Oryzias latipes: one gene and its partners. The protein of the gene in region 1 interacts with the protein of each later gene in a pairwise test. Links are inferred from orthologs where the notes say so. Each region holds a gene or a part of one and is shown in the gene's direction. Other genes may lie near its edges.

The links.
Region 2: the proteins of trim37 (region 1) and pnkp interact in binary tests that used the Homo sapiens proteins (3 or more experiments, as listed by UniProt). The two-hybrid records come from large-scale screens. The link is inferred for Oryzias latipes from reciprocal best matches to the Homo sapiens genes TRIM37 and PNKP.
Region 3: the proteins of trim37 (region 1) and protein FAM124B interact in a two-hybrid assay, tested with the Homo sapiens proteins (2 studies listed by BioGRID and IntAct). The link is inferred for Oryzias latipes from reciprocal best matches to the Homo sapiens genes TRIM37 and FAM124B.
Region 4: the proteins of trim37 (region 1) and copb1 interact in binary tests that used the Homo sapiens proteins (3 or more experiments, as listed by UniProt). The two-hybrid records come from large-scale screens. The link is inferred for Oryzias latipes from reciprocal best matches to the Homo sapiens genes TRIM37 and COPB1.
Region 5: the proteins of trim37 (region 1) and cwf19l2 interact in binary tests that used the Homo sapiens proteins (3 or more experiments, as listed by UniProt). The two-hybrid records come from large-scale screens. The link is inferred for Oryzias latipes from reciprocal best matches to the Homo sapiens genes TRIM37 and CWF19L2.
Region 6: the proteins of trim37 (region 1) and mcm10 interact in a two-hybrid assay, tested with the Homo sapiens proteins (2 studies listed by BioGRID and IntAct). The link is inferred for Oryzias latipes from reciprocal best matches to the Homo sapiens genes TRIM37 and MCM10.

The regions. Positions count from the first base shown.
Region 1 is NC_019872.2:24,841,656-24,844,337, reverse strand, and holds part of trim37 (E3 ubiquitin-protein ligase TRIM37), read left to right. Parts: intron 1-217; coding exon 218-413; intron 414-486; coding exon 487-572; intron 573-856; coding exon 857-967; intron 968-2,682. UniProt on the Homo sapiens protein: E3 ubiquitin-protein ligase required to prevent centriole reduplication. Probably acts by ubiquitinating positive regulators of centriole reduplication.
Region 2 is NC_019871.2:32,547,085-32,549,579, forward strand, and holds the end of pnkp (bifunctional polynucleotide phosphatase/kinase), read left to right. Parts: intron 1-122; coding exon 123-219; intron 220-296; coding exon 297-358; intron 359-479; coding exon 480-589; intron 590-925; coding exon 926-1,013; intron 1,014-1,095; coding exon 1,096-1,163; intron 1,164-1,396; coding exon 1,397-1,517; 3' UTR 1,518-1,752; downstream 1,753-2,495. Other genes in the region: complement C2, read right to left, coding at 2,155-2,331, 2,416-2,465. UniProt on the Homo sapiens protein: Plays a key role in the repair of DNA damage, functioning as part of both the non-homologous end-joining (NHEJ) and base excision repair (BER) pathways.
Region 3 is NC_019871.2:22,277,661-22,282,200, forward strand, and holds the start of protein FAM124B, read left to right. Parts: upstream 1-1,537; 5' UTR 1,538-2,197; coding exon 2,198-2,265; intron 2,266-3,778; coding exon 3,779-3,810; intron 3,811-4,540. Other genes in the region: cullin-3, read left to right, coding at 93-238, 370-501.
Region 4 is NC_019861.2:19,365,872-19,369,660, forward strand, and holds part of copb1 (coatomer subunit beta), read left to right. Parts: intron 1-252; coding exon 253-422; intron 423-514; coding exon 515-629; intron 630-724; coding exon 725-817; intron 818-912; coding exon 913-1,050; intron 1,051-1,201; coding exon 1,202-1,321; intron 1,322-1,545; coding exon 1,546-1,653; intron 1,654-1,753; coding exon 1,754-1,900; intron 1,901-2,008; coding exon 2,009-2,154; intron 2,155-2,251; coding exon 2,252-2,348; intron 2,349-3,789. UniProt on the Homo sapiens protein: The coatomer is a cytosolic protein complex that binds to dilysine motifs and reversibly associates with Golgi non-clathrin-coated vesicles, which further mediate biosynthetic protein transport from the ER, via the Golgi up to the trans Golgi network.
Region 5 is NC_019871.2:20,782,585-20,786,939, forward strand, and holds the start of cwf19l2 (CWF19-like protein 2), read left to right. Parts: upstream 1-1,351; 5' UTR 1,352-1,390; coding exon 1,391-1,483; intron 1,484-2,329; coding exon 2,330-2,440; intron 2,441-3,456; coding exon 3,457-3,582; intron 3,583-4,355. Other genes in the region: alkbh8 (alkylated DNA repair protein alkB homolog 8), read left to right, coding at 1-192.
Region 6 is NC_019881.2:2,768,410-2,772,198, reverse strand, and holds part of mcm10 (protein MCM10 homolog), read left to right. Parts: intron 1-919; coding exon 920-1,036; intron 1,037-1,114; coding exon 1,115-1,311; intron 1,312-1,550; coding exon 1,551-1,645; intron 1,646-2,545; coding exon 2,546-2,659; intron 2,660-3,789. UniProt on the Homo sapiens protein: Acts as a replication initiation factor that brings together the MCM2-7 helicase and the DNA polymerase alpha/primase complex in order to initiate DNA replication. Additionally, plays a role in preventing DNA damage during replication.

The DNA.
Region 1 (2,682 bases):
TTTACACAATGTTGACTTTGTTGAACTTTAGATTGAAACTTCACACTTCCCTTCGAATACCTTTTACTCTCGAGGTTGATAAGGACGTTAAAGGACTTCTGTTGAACTTGTTCATCTTAATTAGGGACAACAAATAAACTTCATTCAGTCATGTCTTTAATGGATCACTGAGTTCTACTGCTGCATGTGACATTTATTTTGGTTGTCTCTGTTCCAGGAGCGGTGAAGGCTGACGTTCTTACAGGGACCCTGGTGTCCCTCGGCAGCTCCACATCAGAGCAGATTTCCTCCTCCAAGCAGCAGTATTGTGTGGAGCAGCAGCTGTACGGGGCCTCAGGATCCAGAGACGATATCTTCACCCTTGGGGGGCCAGGCTACCTAACCACCAGCAAGAGCTGCAGCGGCAAAACCGGGTGCGGCTGAGGTCCGTGGTGTATCTGTCTTCCGTGGGCTTTTCTTACCGCTCTGCATGTCTTCTTCCTGCAGAGCTGCTATGTTGGACTGTGAGGCTGGAGGCTCAGGAAACTCCCATCAGTCCTTGCTGGAGGGAACCAATGCACCGCCTAGTGAAGGTTGATGTCTTCTTGTAAATCCGGGCCCCAGCTTTATTCTCAGCATCTCTACTATAAAGTTTTTCTGACATAAAAATGTCTGAACTCTGAGCCTTGAAAAGCATTAAAAAACTAATTTGAGATATGAATTCTTCAAAGTTTTTCTTGCAGCATGACAGAAGTTTCCTAAAGTCTGCTTCATTTTCATGTGCAAGATGCTCAGAAATTTTACTGCCGGGTGAACAAAGAAGTGAAATATTAGATCTAATTGTAATGTTTTTGTCTTTTTCTCCCCATAACTAAAGATCAGTCATCGTCCATCCTGGTGGCGGCAACCAGCAGTGACAGTGACTCTGAGGATGAAGCTCTGCAGAGCTGCACCTCTCGCTATGACAACCACACTCCTCCCTGCACAGGTACATACACTGCCCCAGGTTTCAGTTATTTATTTATTAGAGACGAGCCACACAAACCATAAAAATCGATACATTTTTAAAAGTAGTTGATCAGCCTCGTAGGCCTCTTAGTTACCAATCAGTGATAGAATTGGTTTTGATCACTGCGCTAGCTTCTTTAAAAAACAAAATTTTGCTTTAAAAACAAGCGGTAAGAGGTGAACTTTCTCTCTGAACCGATGCTTTATGTATGACCAGCATATACCGGTATATCACCTTTCTTTGCCGCTGCAGCCGAGATTGGAGGTCGGTGCGGCTTGTTGTCACTGTAGCGTGACAATGCGCCGCACCAGATAACAAATAGTCTACTTTGTGTGAAAAAAGCGATCCAAACCAAAAAATACCAAGAAGAAAGTACTGAAAACTGATTGAATATTTATTTCTTTTGTAAGTGACCATGGTATAAGTGGGTAATGGTCTTCGAAGTTTGCATTATCAGACATTAATCCACTTTGTGCGTTAATTTCTGATAATGCACACTTTGTCGGCCATTAACCTTTAATTAATAGGATGAATAATAACTATGGGTGTGTATCTTTCCCTCTAACGAGATTCAATATGCATCTCCATACATGGCCCACAAATCGAAACATGGAAGGTGATAGATACAGTCTTTTATATTAAGTTTTTTTACTGGCACTTAAAATATGTTTCACAAAATCGCTTCAAACATAAAAAAATCTGTCATTTTGGGTCTTTTAGACTGTTTTGTTCTTCGTGGTTCGGTAAAAGTGTGTCACTTGTATTGTTTGAAGTGAAAAAAGGGTTATAGTATGTTTAGTGCACACAGCACACATCCCTCATTGTAGTTTACCTTCAGTCAATAGTATTTGACTCGCCATGGCAGAAGCTAGCTTCTTCTTGTTTGCCTCACATGTACATAAAAGGCAGCGACAGTAGAAACACAACCAGAAGAGAAACTGACAAAGTTTACCAGAAATTGATCATTTACTTCCTGATTGGTTTTTATATTAATTTTTTCCAACATTCGTATTTGTGGTTTTAAGCTGATACTGCTGTTGCTTCCATAGCTAGATTAATTTTTTGACATGTATCTATTCTCTTTACATTTTTATTATTTCTATATCATCTCTATTATGCCAGAAGGAGAAAAACTCATTGAGATTAAAAAATATATATTTTTCAAGTGAGGTCTGGGCAATAATGCAGCAGAATAGGAACAAAATACAACCACAAAACTAAAATAAACTCCATGAAGTACATCTAAAGAATTGAAATGAATTTCAAAAACAAGAGCATCCTTAAATGGATGTTTGAAGTGGAAAAATGTTTCCATGATTTGCTGTTTCTATTGTCTTCACACATTTAGCTTCTACTTTGGGGATATCACATGTATTAAAGTAAAAATAATACTTTGTTTAGCTAGAACTTAGTAGGAAGCTGGTTCTGATGAACCCCAGCGTGGAATGATCTACTGAATCTGAGTACTAGATAAGACATTTTATAATTCAACACTTGTAAAAATGCTTATTATTTCCCAGAATTCCATGAGAAGCAAAAATGGCTTCTGCAATACAATCCAACCTTTAGTAAGGCTGAGTTTCTTCATATGCAGCATCGAATCCTTCTTTTTTATTCATCTTAGTGACATAAAATGACCCAAAATGTCAAGAGTTGACCGAAAACTGTGTCAAGCAGTAGAAGCGTTTGCATTT
Region 2 (2,495 bases), on another chromosome or scaffold:
GAAGATGGGCTTCTTCTTCCACACGTACAATAGTTAGTGTTCATCTTGTTTGATGCAGGGTCAGCTTTTAGGGAAGTTCCTCCTGTTTGTGTTTACTAATAGCTGTTGTCTGCTCCTCATAGAGGAAGCTGGACTCCGCTGCCAGGCTGTATGACCCGCCGTCCGCCTCCCTCATCTCCAGTCTCACAGAAGTCATCGTTGCCGTCGGTTATCCCGCATGTGAGGCCCGCTCTCCGTCAGCCCTCACCCATGTCCCCTCCCAACAGCCTTTTGTTCTCACTCCCTCTTGTTTACAGCCGGTAAATCGACCTTCTTCCACGCCCACGTTATTCCAAAGGGTTACTTCTATGTCAACAGGGTAAGTGGAGTACAAAGAAAGGTTTTCACGTCTGAGAGTTTCTCCTGCAAGTATTTTAGGTCGCTCAGACATCACTGGCTGCTGCATCTCAACCATCGTCATCCTCTCATTGGTGTCTCAGGACACCCTTGGCTCCTGGCAGAAATGCGTGGCGGTGTGTGAGCGCGCTCTTAGCGAGGGACGCAGCGTTGCTGTCGACAACACCAACCCAGACCCGGAGTCGCGCAAACGGTGAAGCTCTAATCAGTTTCAGTTTGCCTGTTTGCTCCCAGCTCACCTTTCATATGAACCGGTTCCAAAACAATGACACACACACGCATGCAGAAATAATTACACAGGCAGGGTGGAGTAGTCTCCAGCTGGTTTACTTTAAGCTTTGATTTAAGCCGCTTAGTTCGTGGTTTGTGCTTCTTTCTATTGATTTAGGCTGATAGATTCTTTCTTAGTAAAATGGACTGTCTTATAGAGTGTTACTACTACTAACTACTACTTTAGCTACTTTAACATTAAGGAATCCTAATCATTTTTTAAACGGGTGAATTGACCTTAGGTCTGCATGTTGTGCAGGTATGTGGACGTAGCCAAAGCAGCTGGAGTGTCGTGTCGCTGTTTCCACTTCTCTGCTTCTCTGGAGCAAGCCAAGCACAACAACAGAGTACGACACCCCCCTCCCCACGCCTGACTTGGTTTCAGCTCTGTGACGAGCGCTTTTCACACGGATTTTCTGTCCTTTCCAGTTCCGGGAGATGGCTCCGTCTGACGGCAAACACGCCAAGGTCAATGAAATGGTTTTCCACAGTTACAAGTGAGTGAAGGCCTCTGAAATGTTAGTCAACACCCAAAAAGCCTCACTGGTGCAGAACAACTGGATGGAGACTATAGTTTGAAAAAGAAAACTAGAATTTGTCACATTTTAAAATGTCACTGTATTTTCTGCTCTTATATTGGATCAAAGAGATTCATAGGTTTTTTGTTCTTGCTGCATTTCTGCTTCATCCCAGCATTCTGACGATCTGTCTCCTCTTCTGCTCCAAACAGGAAACACTTCGTGGCTCCTGCTCTTTCCGAAGGATTCTCTGAGATTCTCCAGATCCATTTCGTTCCAAATTTCAAGGACAGACAGTCGGAGGTTCTGTTCCGACAGTTTTCTGAGGGCTGACTCCCCAAATAAAGGTCTATGTCTAAATGTTAAGTAAGCGACGGTAAATTCCAGCTAATGGCCTTTATATTGCAATGAACCTTTGTGCCGTTACTGCATGTTAACTGAACGACTATAGTTAAACTCATGACTGTACAACACAGTTGGATTGTAAACCTGCTGCCCTGACTGTTGGATTTGCTTCTTGTTTTCATCTCAGCGCTAAAATACTAATCATTAAAGCTTCCTAAGCCTGTTTCTGTGGTTTGCTGCCCTTTTTCCAGAGCTGAACGTTTACATTGGCCCCCCATCACCATCTGTCAGTAAAAGCTAAGAGGAAAATATTTGCCTTGGCCCCAGAAACAAAGCGGTTAGATGAGGTTTGAGGGCTTTGGTCAGGATTTATTCTAGCATGGCATCACTCTGCCTGCTTAAAGCTTTACCAACACTCTTTCTCTATTGATTCTATCGAAAAAGCCATTCAGTTTAGAGAGTAAAATACATTTTTATTCGTTTTTAGTTTGCTAATTAAAATGGACAAATCAGCTTTGGACCAGTAAGACGATGTTTAAATCTCTTACAGAGGAGTTTCTGCTTGGATGTTGCAGAAGCTCCGGTGTCTGTTCCATCCTGAAGCAGATTTATCTTCCCAGGCTCATCAAGGGTCAAACTCAGGCAGGAACTTGATCTCCTTGCCTGTATGTTCTTTCAACCACGGCATTATCTTGAAGAGATCGATGTGAAAGTCTCGGGCGTCTGGAGGGGGCCGGTTGCTGCCGTGGGCCCGGTTGTTACGGTCACAGATGTCCGTGGTGCCCCAGCTCACCAATCCCACCTGAAAAAAAGCAGGAAGCTGTCGTTTTATTCAGGCTGTTCACATCAAGATTCGGTTTTTATGAATGGAAAGAAACATGCAGACCTGGAAGTAACGCTTTCTCTTCTGCAGAAACAGGGATCCACCAGAGTCACCTGAAAAGAGACAGTTACTGTTTCATTCTG
Region 3 (4,540 bases), on another chromosome or scaffold:
GGCTGGTTGGGGACCACTGCTTTAACAATCATATTTCAGTTTTTGTATTTAATCGTTTTTAATATGCATACACGTCTTCTTCCGTCCTCTAGTGGTTGCTAAACAGGGAGAGTCGGACCCGGAAAGGAAGGAGACCCGGCAGAAAGTGGACGATGACAGAAAGCATGAGATTGAAGCCGCCATTGTTCGCATCATGAAGTCCAGAAAGAAGATGCAGCACAATGTGCTTGTAGCAGAGGTCAGTTGGTTCACACATTTGCTCTGAGGTGTTACTTTCTGTTGTTGTTTTCTGCTCTTTGGTGACAGTCCTTCTTAAAGACTGGCTTTTACGCGTCATGTCCCTCATTGGTGCTTGTTCTGTCTTCTCAGGTCACACAGCAGCTGCGAGCGCGGTTTCTTCCTAGTCCTGTTGTCATCAAGAAGCGCATTGAAGGACTCATTGAGAGGGAATACTTGGCGAGAACACCAGAGGACCGCAAAGTGTACACTTACGTAGCATAACGAGTGATGAAAGCAGAGCCCGCTCTGTGGTCTGGACTGCTTCTTGTTTAAGTCGAGTCGGACTTGCTTTCGTCGTTGATTCTGGGAAACACTGGGAAGCTTCAAAAACGTCCTCCACACAAACCTGTGAAGAATAATTCTGCAAAAGATGGTGACATTTTCTAGAGTTATTAGACTTCTTCTGAGTAAAGTGAGAGGAGTGGGATGTAGTTTTGTATAAAAAAAAAAAAAAAAAAAAGATTTTTGTGGCCTTTGGAGGAAACTGGCTGAGTCTTTGGGCAGTCACTGGACTCGTGACGCCATGGAGATCTGAAAAACATCGGGACTCCCCCTCTGTTTTAAATGTGGACGTTCATGTGTTATGTTTGTATTTTGTGACACAATAATAGTTGTACAGATCGGCGCGTCTCAGCCTTTTCCTCAAAGAGGATTTTTAGACTTCAAGAGAAAGATGAGGTGTTCCCTGATACAGACCTGGTTTACAGCAGCAGCCAAACAATGTTTGTTTAACGGAACATTTAAAAGCTTCACGTCAGCTGCAAGTTTATGTCTTTAGGGGGCGACACTCGTCCTTCAGCACAGCACAGACTAAAACAGAAAAAAGTCTGACCAGGTCTGTACCAGCAGCCAAAAAAACCAACAGCTTCACAGCATGCCTTCATGAATAAATGGGTCAATCACAGATACAAGACACAACTCCATAGATGTTTGGTCTTCAATGATGCAGCATAATCAGACAAATTGATCCTTCAATATTCTGTTCCTAGCACTGCAGGTTTCATAGATTTCCCTTTTCCACTGCATTCTGAACAGGTGGAGGCAGCAGAGTGCCACGCTTTAATATGTACAAATTGTAAAATAATTGTACGCGTTGCGAAGGTGGATTGTACAGGGCCTTGATTTCATCATATTAAATGTAGAAAGAAAAATATATTATTCCTGGTTTTCTATCCTTTTCAAGAGAAGCTCAACCAAAAAAAACTTTTTTTTCAAAAAATCTCCCATGTTTATATTTAGAGTACCATAACTTTATTTAACACCTTTTAAAATATTGTTTACACTCTATAGTGACTGCCCGCATATAAAAAATTGTAAAAAAATAAAAATTTTAATGCGTTTAGTCAAAGAATGAAGCCCTGTTTCAACTAAAGATATAAGGAAAAAGTTGTTAAACCAAAATAAATGATTTTGGGATTTTAATTTGAAATGTTTCACCCTTTACAAATACAAATGGATATTTAAGCATGCATTATTATGGAATACATCAGTTTGGAAGGAGAAGTTCAGGATCTGTAGTGGAAAAACACCAACAGATCAGCTGTCATATCTGAAACCCTCGTTCATTTAGTTTTTACAGATCCAGCAGAGACTAATGCGCTTATCCAGGTCTTAATAATGTGTTTCTGTTGGGGGTTAGACACCTCCTCCCTTCGCCTCCGTCTGCTCCTCCTTTGTCCTCACGTTAGACTGCTACCATCTGCTCTGTTGTTGTTGAAAGCCTTAACACTTGTGCTGCCTCCTTTCACTCCGCACGAGCGTTTGTTCTGCGGACGCTCGGCTTCGTCTTTTTCAAAGACGGCGGCGTGACGTCAGCGTCCAAGGCTGTGGAAACCAACCCGGACAGGATGCTCCGCGGTGTGAACCCCGCAACCTCCGCCCGCAGCGCGGCCCTGCACGCGAAGCTCTCCACCGGGTCATGAGAGGAGCCGCAGTGTTCGGTAGATGCGACAATGAAAAACCGGACTCCGGAGCAGAAACTGCCGAGTGAGTCCGCCGTGGTTTCCGCTTTAGCGTCAGGCTAACGCTAGCTGAGTAGCTCTCAACTTTTGTTTTCAAAACACAATGGGGTCGATTTTCTATTGAAAATCCGTCACGTTTAACTCCAGCAGCAGCATCTAAGTACTAAACCTGTTGGTAAAATGTCCCTATTGAGGTTCTTTTCATTCTGTATTCTCGTAAATTAACTTTTTTTTCTCCACCTCATGGGAGCTAACATATAAAGGGTTGTCATGGTGACCACAGCAATACGGCAGGTTTCTAAGACAACCACCGCAAGATGGAGACAAATGTTAGTGGAAAATCCAGCGTTTCTCTAAGGAGAATTGGTTCTGAACGGGAAAACAAAAAAAAATCAATTCAGTTCAATTCAATTATACTTTTTAATCTCACAAGGGAAAGTAAAGAAAATAATCACAAGATCAGGAGGAAAAAGTCGACATTTTACGAGAATTAAGTAAAATTATGAGAAAGCAAAAATATTACGATCAAATTCGTAAAATGTTGTTTTGCCTTCTGCCAAGAGTTTTTTGTTTGTTTGTTTGTTTTTTTACGCCGGATGCCCTTCCTGACACAACCATGTAATCTTACAAGGTTACAATTATGGTTCAAAAAACTCAAACTATTAGAAAAAAGTAATAAAATTATGAAAAAGTCAACATTTTATGAAAATGAAGTAAAAAAAACATGATTAAAAGAACAATTATATGAAAAAGTCAAAATGTACAAGAATAAATTCATACAACTATAGAAAAAAGAAAACATTTTTTTCATATTGTAAGTAAAAGTCAAAATTTTATGATTTTTATATCTTAGTCTCATAAGATGTTGACTTTTCTTAACAACTTATTTTATTTCTCATATTTATTTATCTATTTTTCTTTTATGGCGGCCCCAACATAATATTTTCTGGGTTTGTGGTTCTAAAAATGCCTTTTTTTTACCCAGGGATTAAATTTCCATTATAAAAGACTGATACATAAAAAACTAGATTTTTAACACATTTTACACACATAGGTCAAAAATAATTTGCTGCATTTACTAATTTGTGTATTTAGTGAAAATTTTCTATTTATTAATCCTTTCGGCTTTCCCGTCATATGTCATGTGTCCTTCGTTTTTTTGTCTTTGTTTTTCATTTTTGTCTCTAAAGAGGTCTACCCTTCTGTCTCTAAAATAGGATTTAATGCAAAAATTCAAATTATTATGTATAAATTGCACACTGTTTATAGTGTTCTCTCCCTTTAAAAACTGTCACTTTTGTTACTTTATTCTGCCAACCCTTTTTACAATATATGACTAATTGTGATGTTTTACTGCAGTTTTAAACCCCCAAAGGCTCCAGTGTTTCTAAAAAACAGTTTGAATTGTCTCTAGGGACAAACAGTTAGGGGTTTCTGGACTAAAAGATACATTTCAAGACTGGAAACAGGAAGAAAAGCTAGAAAACCTGCATTTCAGGTGAAGGAATAATTTGATGCCGTTTTTGTGTCTCTTTCAGATCTGATTCCAGCAGGATGTCCCTGTCTGTCTGTAAGTACTCCACTGTCTGGACTCGGCTTTTAGAAGATTGAATGGTGAACAGGAGGCAGAAGCTACGGTGTCATAGTTCCTCAACAAGTCAAAAAACAACAAAACCCTTCGTCATCCAGATGCCTAATAGTTGAATGATCTCCAAAGTTCTCTGATGTCTGCAGTAGCATCACCTCAGACTCTCCTGCTTGATGACTTAAACTCTCTACTAACACTTAAACAGATGTTACAGATGAACAACGGTGACCAACGTAAAAACAAATTACCGGTATTAAACATGCATTAAATCAAATCAGGTCAGACTGTTGAAGCTGCAAGAAAACCTAGGAAGCTTCAAAATGCTACTTGGTTTTCTATCTTTTACCCCTTTAAAACCATTCTTCTCATATTTGATTCACACCTTACTGAGACACCTGTCTCATTACAACGGTCCACATTTTCCGCAAAAACCCACCCTGCATAACTTGATGCATGTTTTTTGCCCTCTAGTGGATTATCACTCCACAGAGTGATGAGGCAGTGAGAAACACTTGTCTGCTGAAGCGTTTCCAACATCAACTGAAAGGTTAAGCTGCAGTGACCCTACTGCTGTGAGGAGAAACGCCACTGATCATTTTCCAGGATGGAAAACCCGACAGAGATGCAGCTCTGCACTGATGGGCACTTTTCTCATGTCTACTGTGAGCAGTGGAAAGAGCATCTTTGCTTGGAAAAGGACAGAAACTTATTT
Region 4 (3,789 bases), on another chromosome or scaffold:
AGATTTTTTTCCACTATTTTTCTTATGGCAAACCCAAATTGTGTCCAGTTTTTGGATAAGCAGTTTAAAATTATATTAATGTACTCTTTGATAATGTTTTCCATCCTGATTTTTAGTCCACATGTTTGTGAAACTTGCCTTTGCAGTGTTTTCTTCCATGAAATGCACTCATTTAAAGCTAAAGGTGTGAAGGTGTGGACCCCTTTAAATATTGAAGCAGTTGTTTTCAAACTTTTTTTTGTAATAACTCAGGATCTTCAACATCCCAACGAGTTCATCCGTGGTTCCACTCTGCGTTTCCTGTGCAAACTGAAGGAGTCGGAGTTGCTGGAACCTCTCATGCCTGCCATCCGCGCCTGCTTGGAGCACCGCCACAGCTATGTGCGCCGCAACGCCGTCCTGGCTATTTACACCATCTACAGGTGCCAGATGCTCATGAATGCATTTTCACATGCATCCCACAGAGTATGCATACTATTAGTCTGAAGATTGTTAAGCAATTTGATCTGTTCAGGAACTTTGAGAATCTGATTCCGGACGCTCCAGAGCTGATCCACGATTTCCTCGTCAATGAGAAAGACGCCAGCTGTAAGAGAAACGCTTTCATGATGCTGATTCATGCAGATCAAGTGAGTAGTGTTTTGGAATCTACCTGTTCCTATTTGTAGCACTAAAATATTCAGATTCAAGGCCAAACTAATTGTTTTTTCATCACCTTCAACAGGATCGAGCTCTGGATTACCTCAGCACATGCATTGACCAAGTGCACACTTTTGGGGACATCCTGCAGCTGGTCATCGTGGAGCTGATTTATAAGGCGAGCCAGGCGCTTGAGCACTACACAGTTTAAAAGCACGAAAACCTACAATCGGATCAGATTTCAAATAGAAGCCCTTTTTGTTTCCCTGTTAGGTTTGCCACGCTAACCCTTCTGAGCGAGCGCGGTTCATCCGCTGCATCTTCAACCTCTTGCAGTCCTCAAGTCCAGCTGTGAAGTACGAAGCTGCAGGCACTCTTGTTACCCTCTCCAGTGCTCCTACAGCTATCAAGGTACATTGTCATGACTTTTATCATCAATTTAGTGAATATATTCTCATATTAGTATAACTCTCAGTTTCCATGCAACACATATACTGCTTAGAGCTGATAGCATACTGTATTTGATCAGTTTCTAAATATGTGGCCTTCTCTGTTGCTCCAGGCTGCTGCCCAATGTTATATTGACTTGATCATTAAAGAGAGTGACAACAACGTGAAGCTGATTGTTCTTGATCGTCTGATTGAACTGAAGGATCATCCCACTCATGAACGGGTTCTCCAGGTGGGTCGACATTTTTAGAAATAAAAGTAAAGTTCCTAAACACTAAAAAAAGAAATTCACATTCAAATGTGGTGAGTTTAAGTTATCAAATGGTCTCTCTTTTTACCAGAAAATTCATTAACATATAGTGAAACATATTGTTTGTCTGGTCGAGACCCAGTTTTCAGTTTGTCAATTGTTCAATCTGCTGAGACTTCTCTTAGTTGCCTCCATATTTTTTTTAGGACCTTGTAATGGACATCCTCCGTGTCCTCAGCACTCCTGACCTGGAAGTCAGAAAGAAGACCTTGCAGCTGGCGCTGGACCTCGTCTCTTCTCGTAACGTGGAGGAGGTCTGCAGCATATTTAGCACATCAGTGTTTGTGTAGGTTTTATTTACAAATTGGAGAAGAATTATAACTTGTTGCAAAATGTTTCTGCTTCTCCTTTCAGTTGGTGATCGTTTTGAAAAAAGAAGTGATCAAGACAAACAATGTCTCAGAGCACGAAGACACTGACAAGTACAGGCAGCTCCTGGTGCGCACTCTCCACTCGTGCAGTGTGCGCTTCCCCGATATGGCGGCCAACGTCATACCTGTGGTAATTTATTCCTCCAACTCTACAAACAGGACAGACATTCTGAAATGCCGTTGGTTCCTCAGCCTCCTAAATGTTCGGAGCGTTTTGGTGAACCTGTTTGTGTTCCAGCTGATGGAGTTCCTGAGCGACACTAACGAGGCGGCGGCTGCTGACGTGCTGGAATTCGTGCGAGAGGCGATTCAGAGGTTCGACAACTTGAGACCTCTGATCATCGAAAAGATGCTGGAAGTGTTTCACGCCATCAAAACGGTCAAGTAAGGCTTTCGACTACAAAGCCATTACATAATGTGGAGAGGGGTTTGCAATAGTGCTGGCTTTGACGACATTTGTGTCACAATGGTGCATTTGCAGGATTTACAGAGGAGCACTTTGGATATTAGGGGAATACTGCAGCACCAAAGAAGACATTCAGAGTGTGATGACAGAAGTACGCAGGTCTTTAGGAGAGGTATGTGAGCGCACTGATGTTCACTTTCACTGCTGCTGGAGTCAGAAGTCACCATCCAAATGTAGAGATGTCTGCACAGTCTGGGAAGCCTCCACCTCTTATAGTCTGATTCCCACATTTCCAATACTCTGTCTGTCTTCAGGCTTTCATCTATTAAACTACATTTAATAACATTCCTTTCAAAAGTCAAAATAAAATAATAATAATAATAAATTGGACGCCCACTTCAGCCTGGAACAGGTGAAAATATCTGACATTAAACTGGTCTGTGATGGAAAAAAGGTTGGGGACCACTCCCTTTGGCTGCATTCACACCGGATGTGATTCACGGTCAAGGGCGTCGAGTTTCAATGATAAGTCAATGTACAGACACGATCTAAGGTCCTGCGGCAGGATAAGAACCAATCAGGGACTTAGCTTTGGGCACTTGACATTTACAGTGACTCGATCAAAGGGGAGAAAAATAAATCCAACACGGCTGATTAATGAACTTCCATCCGTTTTACCCGCTGGGGCCGCGGGGTTTCCGAAGGCAGTCCTGGTTACTGTTGGATGAAGGCAGGATACATCCTGGACAGGTCGTCAGCGATCGAGCCTGCTACGACAGCACCTACGGTCTAGCGGCGGCGTTCGCTAGCTCCAGCTCCATGGATTCTTTAATAGGCTGGCGACAGGGGCGCAACTACCCAATTTTATATGTAGGCGGTACGCGGTCACATTTTAAACGCCCCCCCACCATCACACACACAGACATAAATGCACATCCACCCCTCCTAAAGCTACCTAAACACCCCTACAACACTTTAATTGTTTAAATGTGAGGTGAAGGCCACTCAGAAGGACCTTCTGATGAAGGAATGCCCCAGCCTTCTCTTCTGCACCTCTCTGTTCTTCCCCCTCTTCATCATCAGCTGATCGTCTCTCTTTCTCTCTAGTTATCATCGTCATCTGAACCTCTCTCCCAGGCCTGGGCGATAAATCGATCAAATGAATTAATTCGAATTTTTTGTTACGGGCGATTTCAAAAATAACTAAATCAAGTTTTTATGTGGCGCATTTTTGGCTCCCCAGAGCTTCCGTAGCGTTGGTGTCACACGCCGACACGCGACAATCGACGCACGAAGCAGCTAGCGACAGCATGGCTACCGGTGACAGTGGGAAGTTTGTTGTTTGGAACTGGTCTGGGTTTACTGCCACAGACGTGGAGGAAAAGACCCCCCCCCCCACGCTGCCTAAAGCCCATCGGAGTCAGAGGCTCTCACGCGCGCTCACGTGGCACGCGCTCAGTCCTCTTAAACACGCACGCGCCCTGACACAGAAACACATACTCATTCTACAACGCCTGTATAGTTAGTTCGTTAGTTAGTTGTTGCTCATATTTGTTAATAAAGAATACTGCGTTGTAATTAATACTTGTACCGGTATATTCATTTGCGACGCG
Region 5 (4,355 bases), on another chromosome or scaffold:
AGTCCAGCATTCCCTCAGGCTTCAGCTTCTGCTTTGAAACTGGAGAGTAGCACAGTTCCAGTTTTTCATCGCTATTACCATGTTTTCCAGCAGGGGGAGCTGGAGCATCTGTGTGCTCAGGTGTCTGGAGTCAAAGTGAAGAGCAGTTACCATGACCAGGGCAACTGGTGTGTTGTGTTGCAGAAGGAATGAATGCAGAAAGATATGTCTGTGCGAATAAAAACTTGGCAGAACAAAAAACAGAACAGTGAGACAAAATGAAAAGATGTTCTTGTTGAGATTTTAAGAGAAATTAATAAATGTAGATTTTTGAGAAACTGTCTTTTACAGGGCTTTGATATTTGTGACTCTTTTGTTCGTTTTTGCTTGTTGGTATTTCATATTTTAAAAATCATTTTATTTTTCTTTTATCTTTAAAAATTCAAGTCAAGTCAAGTTTATTTATAATGCGCTTTAAAAAAAAACCCAGCAGAGGCTGACTAAAACACTTAACAATGAAAGATTAAAAAAAAACAACAATCTAAAATAAACAACATAATAAAAAAGTAAGAAACATCAATAAAATCACCAACTCATACTGAGCTAAAAGACAGAGGGAAAAAGGGAGTTTTCAACTTGGATTTAAAATCATTCAATAAATGAAAAAGAAACACATCTAAGTGATTTTTGGTCTCCTTTTAAGTTCAGTTTGTGCTTTGAAATTATCAGGGACTTTAAATTGAGAGCAGCCAGCACAGATTTTTTGTTTTATTTCCAACATTAAGGCAAATCAATCAAACTTTATTTTTTCAAAGCAAGTTTGTTTCGCACATTTTATGTACAAAGGTAGTTCAAAGTGCCTTACATAAAACATTAAAGGAAACATTTACTGGAGATATTAATGGGGTGATTATTAAAATAAAAATTAAAGAAAGTTAAAAAGAACGGAAATTAAAATAAGCTTAGAGTAACGGTGCTGATGTAAACTTTTGAAGTTAAATTAATTAAATGCTGTTGAGAACAGGTGGGCCTTTAACATGGGTTTAAAAAAACTGAGTGTTTTAGCAGATCTAAGGCTTTCCTGAAGTCTGTTCCAGAAGATCTGTGGAGCATAGAAGCTGAATGCAGCTTCTCCGTTTTGGTTTGGACTCCAGGAACTGACAACGGTGACAACAGATGATGGGAGAGGTCTGCATTGGACACTGAAGCCGCTAATTTGCACATGTAATGCTTGAAAACTATAGAACAAAATAATGATAGTGGGCCTTATATTTATCATAATCATCTTATTTAGCTCTTTGGAAAATTAGGCATTAAGGGTTAGGGTTAATGGAACTACAAGAACCACAAAACAACTGTCGTAAACAGCGATGTTTTACGACAGTTGGCTAGACCCGTGTACGACGTAGTTATGGCGGCGTACGGAGTCAGTTTTGAGAGTTCCAGCAACATCGAAGAAGCGAAAGAAAAGAAACGACAGGCGCGACAAGAGGCGATACAAAAGGTACGAACTAGGACTCTTTAGAACGCAGATGTGAAGTATTTCCGCGCCGCCGTTTGTTTTTGTTTACATTGATTGACCTGCTAACCGACATGCTAAGGATGGTACCATCAACGATCAAGTCAACCGGGACTATGTGACGTTTTGAGAAGGTTTGCTGTCGTGATGAAGTTTTAAGCAAGCGCTTGTCGGGACATTTTTCAGATTATTCCTGTTTGGACCATTGCTGCATGCTCCCTGAACGCTTGCAGGGAAATATGACACAAACACTGAAAGTGGTGAAAGTCAGTGACCGATATAGCACAGCAGACGGCGGCAGCCTGTCTTTTTCGTGTTTACATTTTGTCCAGATTGTAGTTATTCACTGTCCACAGATAGAAAACAAGAACATCTTAATAGCTGTATTCAAACATGAACATAGCTATTTACGCAGCACTTACAGCTGTTCCCTTTAAATGCACATAAATGTGTTGTAGACTCTTATCTGTTCTGCGCAAGCGCCAGGAAACTGACAACAACCGAGTGGAGCCCAGAACTGAGGAAAACTCAATCTATACATTTATCTTCAACCGATATACAGCAAAACATATTTAGCCAAATCTCTTTACTTTCTGTGCTGTTTTTATAATCTGAATATAATATATAATCGTAATCAATTTTCCAGCTCACATTTATACTTATAATCCCAAAATAGTATGTGAAGTCTAGATTTTGTTCAAATCTTTGTTTAGTGTTACCATTTATTTCTAGACACTTCAGCATAATTTAACATAATGTGTGAGTACATTTCTGTAAAACCACAAATACTGGTATGCTGTAGATATTATAATAAATGTTATTTTTTTTAAGGCTAAGCAACAATATGAGAAGGAGGAGAGGAGAAAGGAGCTGAAGAGGCAGAGAGGAGAGGACACCTGGATACTTCCTGAAGTCAACCAGAGACTGGAGCAGTTAGGAGACGTAAGTTGTATCTGTTTCACTTCAGAAAGACATTTAATAAGCAGCACAATGACAGAAATACATCATTTAAAGACCCACTCCAATGAGTATAGTATTTATGTTGTTTTTAACATGTTTTTGTTGCATTTTTCTCATGTTGAATAAAATATATCAAGAAAATTGAGATTAAAAATGCATTTCTGAGTATTTCTGTATTCATATTGTTGTGAATCAGGAGCAGACAGTCTGAGCTGAAATCTGTCTTAAAACTGGACGACTGCTCGCCAGTTTTGTTGCACCGGTAATGTTAGATTGGGGTTGTGAGGGGCTGTGAGCTAGCTGGAGGGAGTGTAAACAAAGGGTTCATGGGTAATGAGCGCACTTCAACAGTCCAACCCACAACTCCGAGGTGAATTTCTAATGAACTCCTGCCACCCTGCAGAAACTGTCCTAGAAAACAACACAGATTTTATAAATTTTTGCCTAAAAGAGCATAATTATTATTAAAATACCACTGGGAATGCTTTGAAAATGGATCAAAAGATGACTGCAGTTGGACGTGAATCATGTTTAATCATTTTCTAGAGCTATAGGTTGTTAAAGAAACATGCCAATGGTGGCACATTTCTTAAGAAAGTATTTATGCCTTATTTTTATATTTACCTAATCTAATTTTCATCTTTTTTTCCTTACATGCTGCTTTGAGTTTGCCATTGTCGGAGAAATAAAGTTTTATTTATCATTTTAGAATTTAAAACCACCTGCTTCACAGCAAACCAGTTTTCATCTTTTTTAAACCATGAAAACTTATTTGTTTTTTTATGTCAACATATTGGGTAGTTGTTTTTTTTTTTCCTGTACTCAAGCTAAACGTTTGCTGGTAAATCTTCATGTTTGCAGAAGTGGCTTCAAAATTTGCTTATGCAGAATTTTGGCAGCTTCACTCTTTTCCTGCTAATTGTATTTATTTCAATTCAAATATATTTTTTAAACAAACTGAGGTTCCATTTAAAGAACTAAATTCAAACATTTACCAGGATGGATCTTTGAAGAGCAAAAAGAAGAAAAAGGAGAAGAAATCCAAGAAGAAAAAAGAGAAGAAGAAGGACAAGAAAGAGAAAAGGAAAACGGAAGCAGGAGATGCTTCAAGTGTGGATTCAGAGGTAGACCGTCTTCCATGCATTACTCTGAGATACAAACACACAAATGATCTGTCAACAAGTTTTTCTGAGTGGTTTCTTAACAAAGATGTTTTAATAATTTCTATAACTGAAAAAATATTTTTGGGTTGAGTTCAGGTGAAGAATTTAGTTACGATTTAACACTAGAACGCCCAGGATTCTTCACTCCCCCTGCAGCGTCCAGAGCACAGCCAAATGGCTGGGTGACTCGAAATGACTCAAGGCCCGTACACACCGGGACGAATATTCGCCAGGCGTTATTCGCCAGCGTTTTTCGCCACGTTTTTTGTGTTCACACCCAGGCGATTTTCGCTGACGGTGAGCCGAGCGAACATGCAATTTCATTCCCTGACATTAGATGGCGCTTAATGTAAACAGAAATACTCCTGTACACAAGGTGGCGCTGCGCACCTTTACGCTTCTTAAAGTCGCTTTTCACTCAGAAGAAGTGAGCAAGTATTTACGCGCTTGTCAGAATCATACAAAGAAAACATGAATATTTCAAGCATCAGTAGCTCCAACTGGTACTTGGTTCGGGGATATTTAAGAATGTCCGTCATTATTTCTTCACAGCAGTGTAGACGCTACTTGGCGTCTATCTTCTTCGCTGGTATGTGTGCTCAGCAAGGCAGTTTTGTGTTTGAGCGCCCCCAAGTTGTGTTTTACTGTAACTTCAGAAGCTCCAGACACGTGTGCAAAAGCGGCATTCTCATTGGTCGAATAGATTTCGACACGACGCGTCGAAAAAAAAAACG
Region 6 (3,789 bases), on another chromosome or scaffold:
TGAAAACATTAAATGATTGAGAACAGGACGTCTGCTGGTTGATCCTTCCGGTTCCGTTTCAGGATCATGAAAACTTTTCCTGATTGAACTTTGGGAATTTATTTGAAAGTTGTATTTTTTCCCTCCTTGATGATGTTTACCTCAAAATCCTCAAAACCATTTTTTTACAACAGTAGTGCAGAGTATTGGATCAAAATCCCTTTCAGAACACTTTACATCAGGGGTGGGCAAACGTTTGGACCCTGGGGCCACAAAGGGTTCTAACATTTGTCACAAAGGCCGAACCAGAGGCATGGTTTTTTTAATGATTTTTTTTCTAAATGATGGATTGTTTATTTCTGATCTCCTAAAGTGCAGCTGTTTCCCTGCATTACCTGCTGTCTGTATGTCAAATACTGACACCAACTAAACCACAGGCAGACAAAGAATACATTGATGGAAAATAAAGATACGTCATCAAAATGTCTACAATTCTTAATAAAGAATGACATTACTAGCATGAGCTGAGGAATCTAAAGGAACCATGATCCAGGCTGTGCTCCGTGCGCCAGAGACGCCCATTCACAGTTTCAGGCTGATACAAACTCTGTCATTCAACACATCATAGGAAACCAATAGTGGGCTACAGTTTTTTTTCCTAGCACTGAGCCCCACCGGCCCCCGATAAATTTGCCCCCCGGCATCACATGCCCCACTATTTGAGAAGCACTGGTTTAGCTAAAGGTTGAGGGGTTTAAGTCTTTAAAGAAATCAAATGTTTCCCCCTTTGTTTTTAATAACCTAGTACCTTAAGTGCAATCGGGAATCTTGAGACGATCCCAGAAAGCTTCAAATAATGTCTGCTGAAGAATCAGCAGAATGTCAGCATTCGGGTTCATTTTGCTTATTCAGAAATGGATTTTTAAAATTATTTTTTTAGGTGAGTCTGACGGTGGATCACCCACAGAAGGTGCTCGTTTTGGGCGAAGCTCAGGACTACGGCACCTGCAAAGCCTCGAAGAAGAACGGAGATCCCTGTTCTCAAATCGTCAACTTGGTGAGTCCTAAGTGAAACCGCGTTTCTTCACCTCCTCCTCCTCCTTCACCTCCCTTCACGATCCGCTCCTCTCTGCAGTACGAATGCCAGTACTGCCAGTACCATGTCAAGGCCCAGTATAAGAAGATGAGCTCAAAGAGGGCGGAGCTGCAGTCATCGTTCTCTGGAAAAGGCCCAAACACCCTGAAGGGGAAGGGGGGCGGCCTCAGACAGCGCCTGTGTCAAGATGGCTTCTACTACGGCGGCGTGTCGTCTTCTGCCTGCGCCGCCACGCTGTGAGTGCAGCTTTGTCCTGGAGGAGTGATCAGAGAGATCTGTCAGGACGCTTCAAGGCTGTTCATTGGTTAAACCTTTGTTGGTTCAGATTTGTGCTTTAGAATTAGCTTTTATGTTACAAACAGTGAAGTACTGTCCTGAAACACAACAAAGTTTATTGTAAACATTTGGCTCAGCAGCACATGAATCATGACACGTCTGTTTTCTGAAAGGCCGTCCTCATTTTCATCTTTTCCAGAACTGCTTCCAAACCGAGCAAACCCCAGCAGAAGACTCTGGAGCAGCTGTTTGTGAGTGGCTCAGCTCAGCTCGTTAGGCGCGCCAAGCAGATAGGTAGGAGCTGCTTGGTCTGTTTGTGGTTTACCACAGACTCAAGGAGGGAGTGACTTAGTTTGTTTTATTTAGTAACTCTGTGGTTGATGTCATCAGATGTGAAGATGCTCTTAACCTTTCTTAGCCTCTACCTCTGTGTCTGCCATGGATGCAGTTAGAAATTGGGTTTTGAGCAGCTTCCTAACCTAACCAGATATCTAACCTAACCAGCTTCCTAACCTAACCAGGTTCCTACCTTAATCAGATTTCTACCTAATCAGCTTCCTAACCTAACCAGAATCCCAACCTAACCAGATATCTAACCTAACCAGATATCTAACCTAACCAGGTTCCTAACCTAACCAGGTTCCTACCTTAATCAGATTTCTACCTAATCAGCTTCCTAACCTAACCAGAATCCCAACCTAACCAGATATCTAACCTAACCAGATTCCTAACCTAACCAGATTCCTAACCTAACCATATTCCCACAGCAGCAAGCAGAATATGTTTGATTTTAAATTGAACTAGATTTGGTTAAAAAGATGATTTGGCAAATTATCACACTAAGACCAATTTAGTTTGGTTTTAAAACCCGTTTAAAAAAAAAAATTAAGTAAACAAAAGAGGAACCTTTAACCACAAACATACACATTCACCAGCTAATAGAAAAGCCTTTTTAGTCTTAAAAATAAAGGAAATAGCATTAAAGCTGAATCCATTCATGTTTTTGTTGAAACAGTGTTGTATTTTAGGTGTAGAGGGATCGATTTTGTTGCTTATTTCTAAACCTCCTCCTATAGAACACACTAACCAGGTAACCAGCAGAGGGCGGGGACATCTACAGAACCTTGAGGACTGCAGGTTGACGGGTCAGGTGGAGGAGGTCGCTGACCCTCATTGTTTATTTGTGTCTTCCAGCAATGCAGTCTGGAGAAATGTCCGGCTGCTCCAATGAATTCAAGAGCCTGATGTCGGTGCCGACTCCTGGAGCTCTGCAGCTGAAGCAGCACCTGACGCAGAGCAGCCAATCAGGTGATCCTCCTGAGCCACACCTTATTCACACGTTTATGCAGGTTATTATTCATATACTTACTTTTATTCAGAGTTTTTAGTGAAACTCTGGTTGGACGGTTAACCCGTTAACTCCGTAGTTTTAGCTCCGGTGTTTCGACTACCGGAACTTTTCTGCTGTTTACACAGAATTCCTGCAGAAAAAAAGCAGCGCGTCGTTGATGTGCAACACTTTACAATGTAAACCAGCTGATTATTAAGCAACACTTTGTGTGTTTAAAGCCGCTCTTCGCCGTGTCAGAATCAGCTGATTCGTGTTGATCCCGTGAGCAGTGGAGTGGTTGGGGTAGGTCAAAGGGCGTGTTAGTCAGATGTGTTAAAGCTGTTTTGAGCTGCTTGATCAATAACCATCTCTGTTTATGAAACGCCTGTTCAGCTTCTTGAAATTTCTCAAAAGGCAAATTAGTCCATCCATCCATTTTTCAAACTCGCCACATCCCTTTTGGGCTCACTGGGTTGCTGGAGCCTATCCCAGCCACTATCAGTCGGTTGCATGACTGCACAACAACAAGCCCACCTAGGGACAATTTACAGATACTAATTAACCTATGAAACATGTTTCTGGACTATGGAGGAAGCCAGAGTATCTGGTTTCCGTGCACAAAGAGAACAGGCCCACTCCATGCAGAAAAGGCCCACCCAGGATTTGAACCAGAACCTTCTCACTTAGAGGCAAGAGAGCCAACCTCTACACCACCGTGCAACCCTTTAAAAAAACCCTTAATGATCTTATTTGTGTTAATATTTGGTAATGTGTTTTAGAATAGAATAAAACTTTATTATTTCACCCTTAGTTATTTCTTCATGTTGTACTGTTGTACTTCTTTTTAGCACCATGAGTGAGGGAAGGGGAGAGGATGATGACACCTGTGCGATGTTCAATGTCATTCATGTCAAAAGAAAAACGCAGAGTCCGTCTTATCACGCGGCTGTGCCTCTGTTGTAGCGTTGCTACAGTGTTTGTCCGCCATATATAATATTGCGGTTCATGAGAACTTAGCCAGACATCAAAGCGGTCCGTGGGCCATTAAGGTTGGGGGTCGCAATTGTAGCGGACAGGGTTGGACGAGGTGGCTGTTTGGTCGCGTTCT